Linked DNA regions of Oryzias latipes. The protein of the gene in region 2 interacts with the protein of the main gene of each other region in a biochemical or structural test. Links are inferred from orthologs where the notes say so. Each region holds a gene or a part of one and is shown on either strand. Other genes may lie near its edges.

Evidence for each region. The genes of interacting proteins can lie anywhere in the genome.
Region 1: the proteins of klhl12 (region 2) and pdcd6 form a complex in vitro, tested with the Homo sapiens proteins (2 studies listed by BioGRID). The link is inferred for Oryzias latipes from reciprocal best matches to the Homo sapiens genes KLHL12 and PDCD6.

The regions. Positions count from the first base shown.
Region 1 is NC_019878.2:12,576,430-12,580,756, forward strand, and holds the start of pdcd6 (programmed cell death protein 6), read left to right. Parts: upstream 1-1,466; 5' UTR 1,467-1,612; coding exon 1,613-1,695; intron 1,696-4,327. UniProt on the Homo sapiens protein: Calcium sensor that plays a key role in processes such as endoplasmic reticulum (ER)-Golgi vesicular transport, endosomal biogenesis or membrane repair.
Region 2 is NC_019865.2:21,836,351-21,839,913, reverse strand, and holds part of klhl12 (kelch-like protein 12), read left to right. Parts: intron 1-1,250; coding exon 1,251-1,468; intron 1,469-3,563. UniProt on the Homo sapiens protein: Substrate-specific adapter of a BCR (BTB-CUL3-RBX1) E3 ubiquitin ligase complex that acts as a negative regulator of Wnt signaling pathway and ER-Golgi transport.

The DNA.
Region 1 (4,327 bases), on a different chromosome or scaffold from region 2:
AGAATTGGATTCTGGTTAAACGTAAACATCTGTGATGCGTTCACAATAATCGGAAAACTGAGAATTATTAGTTTTTCGGGGTTCCTGTGTTTAAGATCAGACGCACAAACAATAGACAATGAACAAAGACGTTAACTCTTTCTACAGCAGTGAGAATTGAATTACCTGTGCATTATTTCGATTTAATGAAAGCTTCATCACAGCATGACAGTTCTGAAGACCCATTCCAATGAAAAAAAAAGTAAATTTAAATTGCATTTCTGAGTATTTCTATTCAAATCGTTGTGAATCATGTGCAGACAAAAAATGGAAAAAACTGGTAGCAGTGACTCAGGTGCCACAATTGGTAAACAAGACGCTTCCTGCTCTACTTCATTCCGATGCATCCACTTGCAGATAAAAAGGATCCATTTAATCTACATCTTCATTTTCCACGATCAAGCGGGCATCTGACTCAAAACTGTACGGGTGGATAGATCCAATATTGCACACCATTTTTGTTAATGTTATGTAGGGTTGTAAGGGGCTGTAAACTAGTGGGAGCGAGTGTAAACAAAAGGATGATGGGAAATGAGGGAAGGCTTACTGCACGCCAGTAGTCCGGCCCAAATTTCTGATGAACTCCTAACGCTCTGCAGAATCTGTCCTGGATAACAACACATTTTTTTTTAATTTAGGCTTAAAAACGTCATAATCATAATTAAAGGACCATTGGAAACACTTTAAAAATAAGTCAAAAAATGATCAGAGTCGCATTTTAATTATGTGCTCAATTTCCAAACAATTAAATGTGGAGCTGCTTACACTACTAAAATATATCAGATTGTGGTTAAAATTTAATAAAATGATTGTATTTCTCAGAATTTGAAAAATGTATTGCATTTCTGAGTGAAGAGTGACTGCAAAACACTATTTAGTCCTACAGTTAAATGGTATGAAATTTGGTTGATTTCTTTGTATTTTCTAAAACAAAAAAGCAGTTAAATAAATAAACTTAAAAGGGATAAAGTGCTCAAAAAAGGAGTGGTTAAAAAATAAATCTCACAAATGTCTTACCCCAAATCTTACTATATTGAATGCATGCATTAACACATTAAACCTATACTCATTATTCATATCCCCACAAAAGAATTAAAGAAAAACGGTACCAAAACAACGTCACAGAGTTATGACTGTCTGGACATTGTTCCATTGGGATCCTCATTTTTGTCTTGTAAACTTTTCCAAAATTTTCAGTTTGTATTTTATTTTAAAACCTGTAAACTTTATAGTAATAATGATAAAAATAATAATAATAATGTACTAAATTGGCTAATAAAAAAGCAGCATGACTTTAAGTTCTTTGTCGGGTGTGTCAGAGTTTCTCCTGCGCAATGGAATTATTGATTCACAGCTTTTACATGGGTTCCTTCCAATTTGAGAGTTGTGACGTCACTTTCCCCAGAGTCCTGGTGAATGGTTGGCCACGCCTCTGTGCGCGAGGATCCAGCCAGTCAACGTCGATTGGTGGAGTCAGATTGAAGCCGCAGAAAAGGGAAACTACAGCAGCGGAGGAGCAGCTAGAAACAGCCCCGCACAACCTTTATAACTGAACGTTTCCTTAAGAAGAAAAATGGCGTACCACAGTCCTTACCGAGCCCCCCCGCACATTAACGCTCCTCCGGACCAGAGCTTCCTGTGGAATATCTTCCAGAGGTGAGTCAGTGGGGAGAAGGCGGCTTGTTTCGCCTGAAAACTGCTGCCGTTCGTTCGTAGCGGGAGGAAGAAGATAGAGGGGCTGGGTCGGGTGGTGACACTAAATATTTCATTGGCAGCTGTCCCCCCCCCCCCCCCCCACACACACACACACACACATTTTCTTTGCGTTAATGTTGTCGTTGAAGGCGAAGCTCCGCAGTGAATGAAGTGTTTGAGGGCTAGCTCTTAGCCAAACCTCTACTCTACAGATAAAACAACGCGTACCAGAGCCACTCCGGCTGTCACACTTTGGGCTCATTCACTTCTAACCGTGTACTTCTGCAGGCGCGAGGCCGTAGCAGTTAGTTTAAAAACCTAACTTCAAAGACCTCCACAAGTCCTTGAAGTACACTGCTGACATCATTACACACTTGTGTTCAGAGTTGGCTCATTCATGCTAATTAAACGTTGTGCACACCTGTGTACGGTTACATCCCAGTGATACAAGGAGAAATGAGGAAACAGGACATTTAAAGCCATGTGCCAGCTGCCATAGTAGGTACAGAGGGAGAAATGTTGAAATACTTGTACTGCTGGTGCTAATAAGCTATAGTGTTATGTAATACTGCAGAGGATTTGTTTCTTTTAGTGTTGGAATGCTGCGGGCATCTTGAGGCTTGAGCCAGACCCCTCACCAAAGACTTCTGTGTGGTGCATGACCTGAGGGAAGGCGGGCTGCATGTACTCATGTTGTCCCCTGTGTCTTCCTTCACTCGCATCCGCTGTCACGGAAGCGAGCAGAAGCATCTTATGATTCTCATGACTTAATAGAGTCAGCATCGGAGCAAAGGTCACTTCCAGCAAGCCCGACTGTCATGAAGAGCGTCACACACGAGCTGCCTCGCCTGGTTCCCCCTTTGGCTGAACGCGTGGCAGAGAATCCCGTTTGTCATGTGACCGCAGTCAGCAGAGCAGCAATGAAACATGAGGCCTCTCAGTGGGGGGGTTTCAGACACACTCCCTACAGATTTTCACTGTAGCCAGATTGGCATATGGCTGCTGTGGGAAATCAGTTCACTCACTTGCTACTATTTTGAATCCAGAAGTCTCCACAGGAGAAAGGTATGGGGAGTTTTTGAAGTGTAGTTAGGGTACCATATTTTTCAGACTATAAGTTGCTCCAGAGTATAAGTCACAGCAGCCAAAAGAAAGTATAATAAATTAGAAAAAAATCATATATAAGCATTGACTGTATAAGAGAACTGGACTGAGTGACCCCTCCTCCCTTGCATTCTAAATAGGATGTACATGTTGGTCCTAAAATCCTATACAGTTCTATAGAGAAAAAAACAACAATTACTCAGTCATTATATTTGTCAGAATAACCATTCTTGTTCTACCTTTTTTTTTAACATGTTATTGCTAATTCAAATTTATTTTCCATGATATTTTTTCTGTAGCGCAAATGATCCAAGTTGCCCAATCAGATGCCTCAATAAAAGTAGATGGCGTCACGTCGAATGTTCGAAGCATTTGATGTCATATTCTCTCGATCTCGCTTACAGTGGAAGGGGTGTGGCCTTCCAACAGTCTTATTCCTGATTGGAGAGTGTGGTTACTATAGAAATGTAGACTCAGAAAGACTTGGACCAATCACTACTTAAGCCCGCTTAAGTAATTTCCTATAGTTCGCGTCACAATCGCTCAGTCCAGTTCTCATATGCAGTCAATGTATGTAAGTCGCACTGAAGTATATGAAGGAGAAATTAAGAAATTGTGGTTTGTGCCCAGTCGGATTTATATGACACTGTCTTGCTGTAAAAAAGAAAAAAAAACCTGGAACAAGATTTGTGAAATTTGCTACGCTTCAACATTTTAGAAACGGTAGAAAAAGAAGAGGACACCCCCCCCCTCCACCATGGACATGCATTTAAGAACGCTTGTCAAATGCTGTAGTGTGCGTATCTTAAGATTAAGCGGCGCTGCTTATTCTGAGTTTTTGTCAGTAGTAATTACAGATACACCTACAAACAGACCCCGTAGTGGTTGCTGCTATTTATTTTTTGAAAAAATCACATAAGTCGCACCTGCGTATATGTCTTAACCCTGACCAAACTATGCAAACAAAAAAACACGACTCATACTATGAATAGTATGGTAAATGAGAGCTGTTGACCATTAACCTTGCTTCTTAATGTTTTTGTTCCATGACATAATGCTGAATGAGTCACTATTTCTTTCTTTTGTCTGTTTTCTTCACTGTCACAGTGACATTATAAATGTTGGCTCCCAGCCCTGTTACTAAATCACACATTAACACTTTTTTATATTTAATCTTAATTTATTCCAGTTGTGTTGTTTTTTTTTTAGCCACAGCGAAGGTCTGGCTTTTGGATTTTCTACGTGGAAAATGGAGCGAGCCGTGTTCCCCAAGCTCCAGTTTCTCTGTAGGAAAAAGTGGAACATGGGAAAATCTGAATCAGGTTTTGATATTGTCCTGCTGCACTACATGGATGTTTGGTCATTTAACAACATGAAGATGGAAACACCAGATGGTTTTTGCCCTGCAGCAAAGAGGAATGTTAATGATAGTTTTCTTTTACTTTTGAGAGGACTTGGCCTGAGGCAAAGAGAGTTACCAGAAAGAAAA
Region 2 (3,563 bases):
TCCTTCCATATTTGTTTAAGATGGATGAAACATTCACAAGTAAATCTCATAATTTCAAGTGACAAGATTATTTTTTTGTTATTTATTGAAAAAACAAACATCTTTTATAGTCTTTAGAAGTTTAAATGTTAGTTAAATGCCAAAAACAAGCGACTAAAAATGAAATCCCAGTGAAAAAGAAAAAGAAAAATGATTTGCAGGAACCCAGAAGAACAATTGCAAGGTCTAGCCTTACCAAAGAACACATTTGTACCTATAGTTCTGTCATTTTAAGGAACATTTGAATGTTTTTGAAACTTTTGCAGCTCCACATATAGTTTATACCCTTCTATAACTTTGTTGTGTCTATGGAGCAGAAAGTAGCCGCTGTTAAAAAAAAAAGAAAAAGAAAAAGCAGCTTTTACATCTTGAAATTCTATTTTCCTGAAGCTCACATTTTAATTTTGGATTTTTACGTTTTAATCAATTGACATTAACATGAATTTAATTAAACATCAGTACAATGTTCCCTCGTTTATCACAAGACTTGCATTGTAATAATAGCCCACAATCGACAACATTAGTCTTTTTCTTACAATCGTTATAGATTGTCACTACACACTTTCTTCACTTTTCTCAGACAACGTGAACATTTTCACAATTGTGTCTCTTGTTTAAACTCTCAAAATTCAGATCTTTATAGAAAAATTAGTCCAGGATTATAAAATTATCTGATTGCCATTGAAGATTTATGTGAAGAAAGCAGGACACAATTTGCTCTTTAAAAAAATGAATACATAAAAAGACACTCAAACATGCACCAAAACATTCTGCCAAGCAGAGACACAAAGATGAACAATATAGCAAGGAACACTGTACTGACCAAAGAAACATTGTTTCTCTGTTTTTTGTCTTGTTTTTAAATGTCCTGACTGACCAAAGTAACTAAAAATGCATCATATGTGAGCAGGCTTTCATACCTGTGGAGTCTGCATCACCATTACTTTTTTGGTTGTCTGCAACGTCTGATTGTGCGCAAAAGTCACATTTAAGATTCTTTATTTTGCTTTTAAAAGGTGTAGTTAGTTGTCTTTGTCTTCTAATATAAAGTCATTAGGAGTCTGTTAAAGTTATTTAGTCTTATTGTCTTTTCACAAATTGTCAGACATGCGAAATAAACAGTGTAAATCCTGTTTTGTTGTGTTTGTTTTCCTTGAAATGATACTTAAAGTGAATTTGTCAACTGTGCTTGGCTCTTTTTCTTCCCTCAGGAGTGAAAAGGGCCTGTTGTGACTTTCTGGAGAGCCAGCTGGATCCCTCCAACTGTCTGGGTATTCGAGATTTTGCTGAAACCCACAACTGCCTCGACCTGATGCAGGCGGCTGAGCTCTTCTCACAGAAGCATTTCTCTGAGGTGGTTCAACACGAGGAGTTTATGCTGCTGAGTCAGACAGAAGTTGAAAAGCTCATAAAATGTGACGAAATCCAGGTAAGGAAAGCAAATGTCTGCAGCCTTGTGCCGTCTTTTTAAATTTACTATTTACTTTTTTACTCTTAGATGTTCCGAAACATTTCGGCGAAAGAGTGCCACAAACGGCCCATTTCACCTCAATCGTCTGCACCACTGAAGAAGTCATTATTGTAATTACGTTTCCTCAGGACTGGCTTAGCTTGGCGTGAATTTAGCTCGTCTTTCACAGTTTTCTATTGTCTGTCAACACCTAAATAAGACAAGAGTAAAGCGAGCACAAACCTGCAGTAAACTCATGGAGGTCACCCCCCCCCCCTCCGTTTTTTAACTGGTCTGACAGTGAAATTGTAGAGAAGTGAACCTGATTTAAGTTTGCCTTTGTACTCAGAAAATTCCTGTTTTCCAAACCCCATGCATTGCTTTGTGAAAACACTGCTTATTATCACCCGATGATTTATAGAGCGTCATTTGTGTCAAATTGTTCGTCCTGTCATTTCTGTTGTTTTAGAAACTAGACTGCTGATTCAAAAACAGTCGCACATAATTTGCTGTGATCTGAGGTTTTTCTTTTATGTTCAAAACGTAAAGACCCACCATTTGTTTATGCCGATTATGTTTTTCAAAGTGTACATAGAAATCCCTTTATTCTTTCTTAAGTTACTGAAAGGCTGACAATAGTACAAAAGTCAGGAAATAGTCCATTTTAAATATGACAATAGCACCACAACTGTTGACCAGAAACATCTAACTTTAGTGGACTACAGGCAGAATAGCTTGATGTGTTGCAATAAAGTTTGGCATCGTTCTGCCCTAAAAAAAAAAAGTTTAATAAGTAAAAAAAATAAAAAAAAGTTTAAAAAAAAGAAATAGCTTCCAGGAGAACTTTTTCGAAAATTATTTACAAAAATGATCCCCTATAATGTAAATTTGAAACATTATTATTAAATATGTCATATGCAGTTTTAAGGCTATTTAATCTATTTAAACATATTCTTTTTTTCTGATTTGACTGTTTAATTGGCTTCTTTAAAGACCCAGAAGGTTTCCTAGAGGTCTTTTAATTATGATGATGTCGTTTTTACCCCAAATCTAACAGTCCGTGTCGTTTTCTAGAATATAGTTTCTGCAGAAGTTAATCAGAAATTCACCTGTGAGATGCTGGCGGGACTGTGGGAGCGCAGGAACCCCACACTATTCCCCTTCCCCACTAACTCCCAACTTAACATCAGTGGTGCAACAGAAACGTGAGCAATATAAAGAAAAACTCAGAAATGCAATTTCAAGCTTAATTTTCTTTGTCTATGTGCTCCAACATCAGAAAAATGCCACAAGAACATGTTAAAAACAACAAAAACACAATTTTCGTTGAAGAGCGTCTTAAAACACAAACTCTAGTCTTTTAGGGCTGCTGTCCAATGTGGTTTTTCATTTATTCTGCCCCTGCAACTTTATTTTAGCAAAATGCACCAGATCCAGGTAATCAGCAGCAAGTAGGATAGTAATATCTGAATAAATACTTTATAATGAAAAAAACTTAGGGGAAACATTGCAGATCCTAAATGTCCACCACAACTAACATCGTTTTCAGAAAAATTGGTGAAAAGCTACCTCAAAGTCAGTGACCCGTTGATCTTAGTTGTTATCTTTACACAATGCTTGTGAACTCGCTCAAAAATCGTGAAATCGTGACAGGCCTGCTTTACGCCAGGCGGTCCTTCTCCCTTGGCACATTTGTTTAACTTGTGTTTTCTTCAGCTTCCAAAAGAAGTCTCAATTATATAAAAAAAATCATTTAATATGTGAAAATCAAAAGCTACTTCTTTTAGTGCTGTCATTAAACTCAAAATGGTTCATATTGTTGATCAGAATTTTATCCAAAAATCCCTTTTCATCCCTCTGCTAGCACTGTCTCTAGAGCCTAAAATGACCATAATCCAAAGTTTGGATCACAACCGTTGCGTTTTCTTCTGAGGAAAACGACAAAGTCTTGTGCAATCCTACAATCAAAGTAATGCTGCTGTTGGATTCAGTGGGTCTTGTAATCCCTTCCCTTAGGTTTGCACTCGCATGCGTGTTAGTACATGTGGTTGTGCCTTTAGCAGGGAAAAGCTCT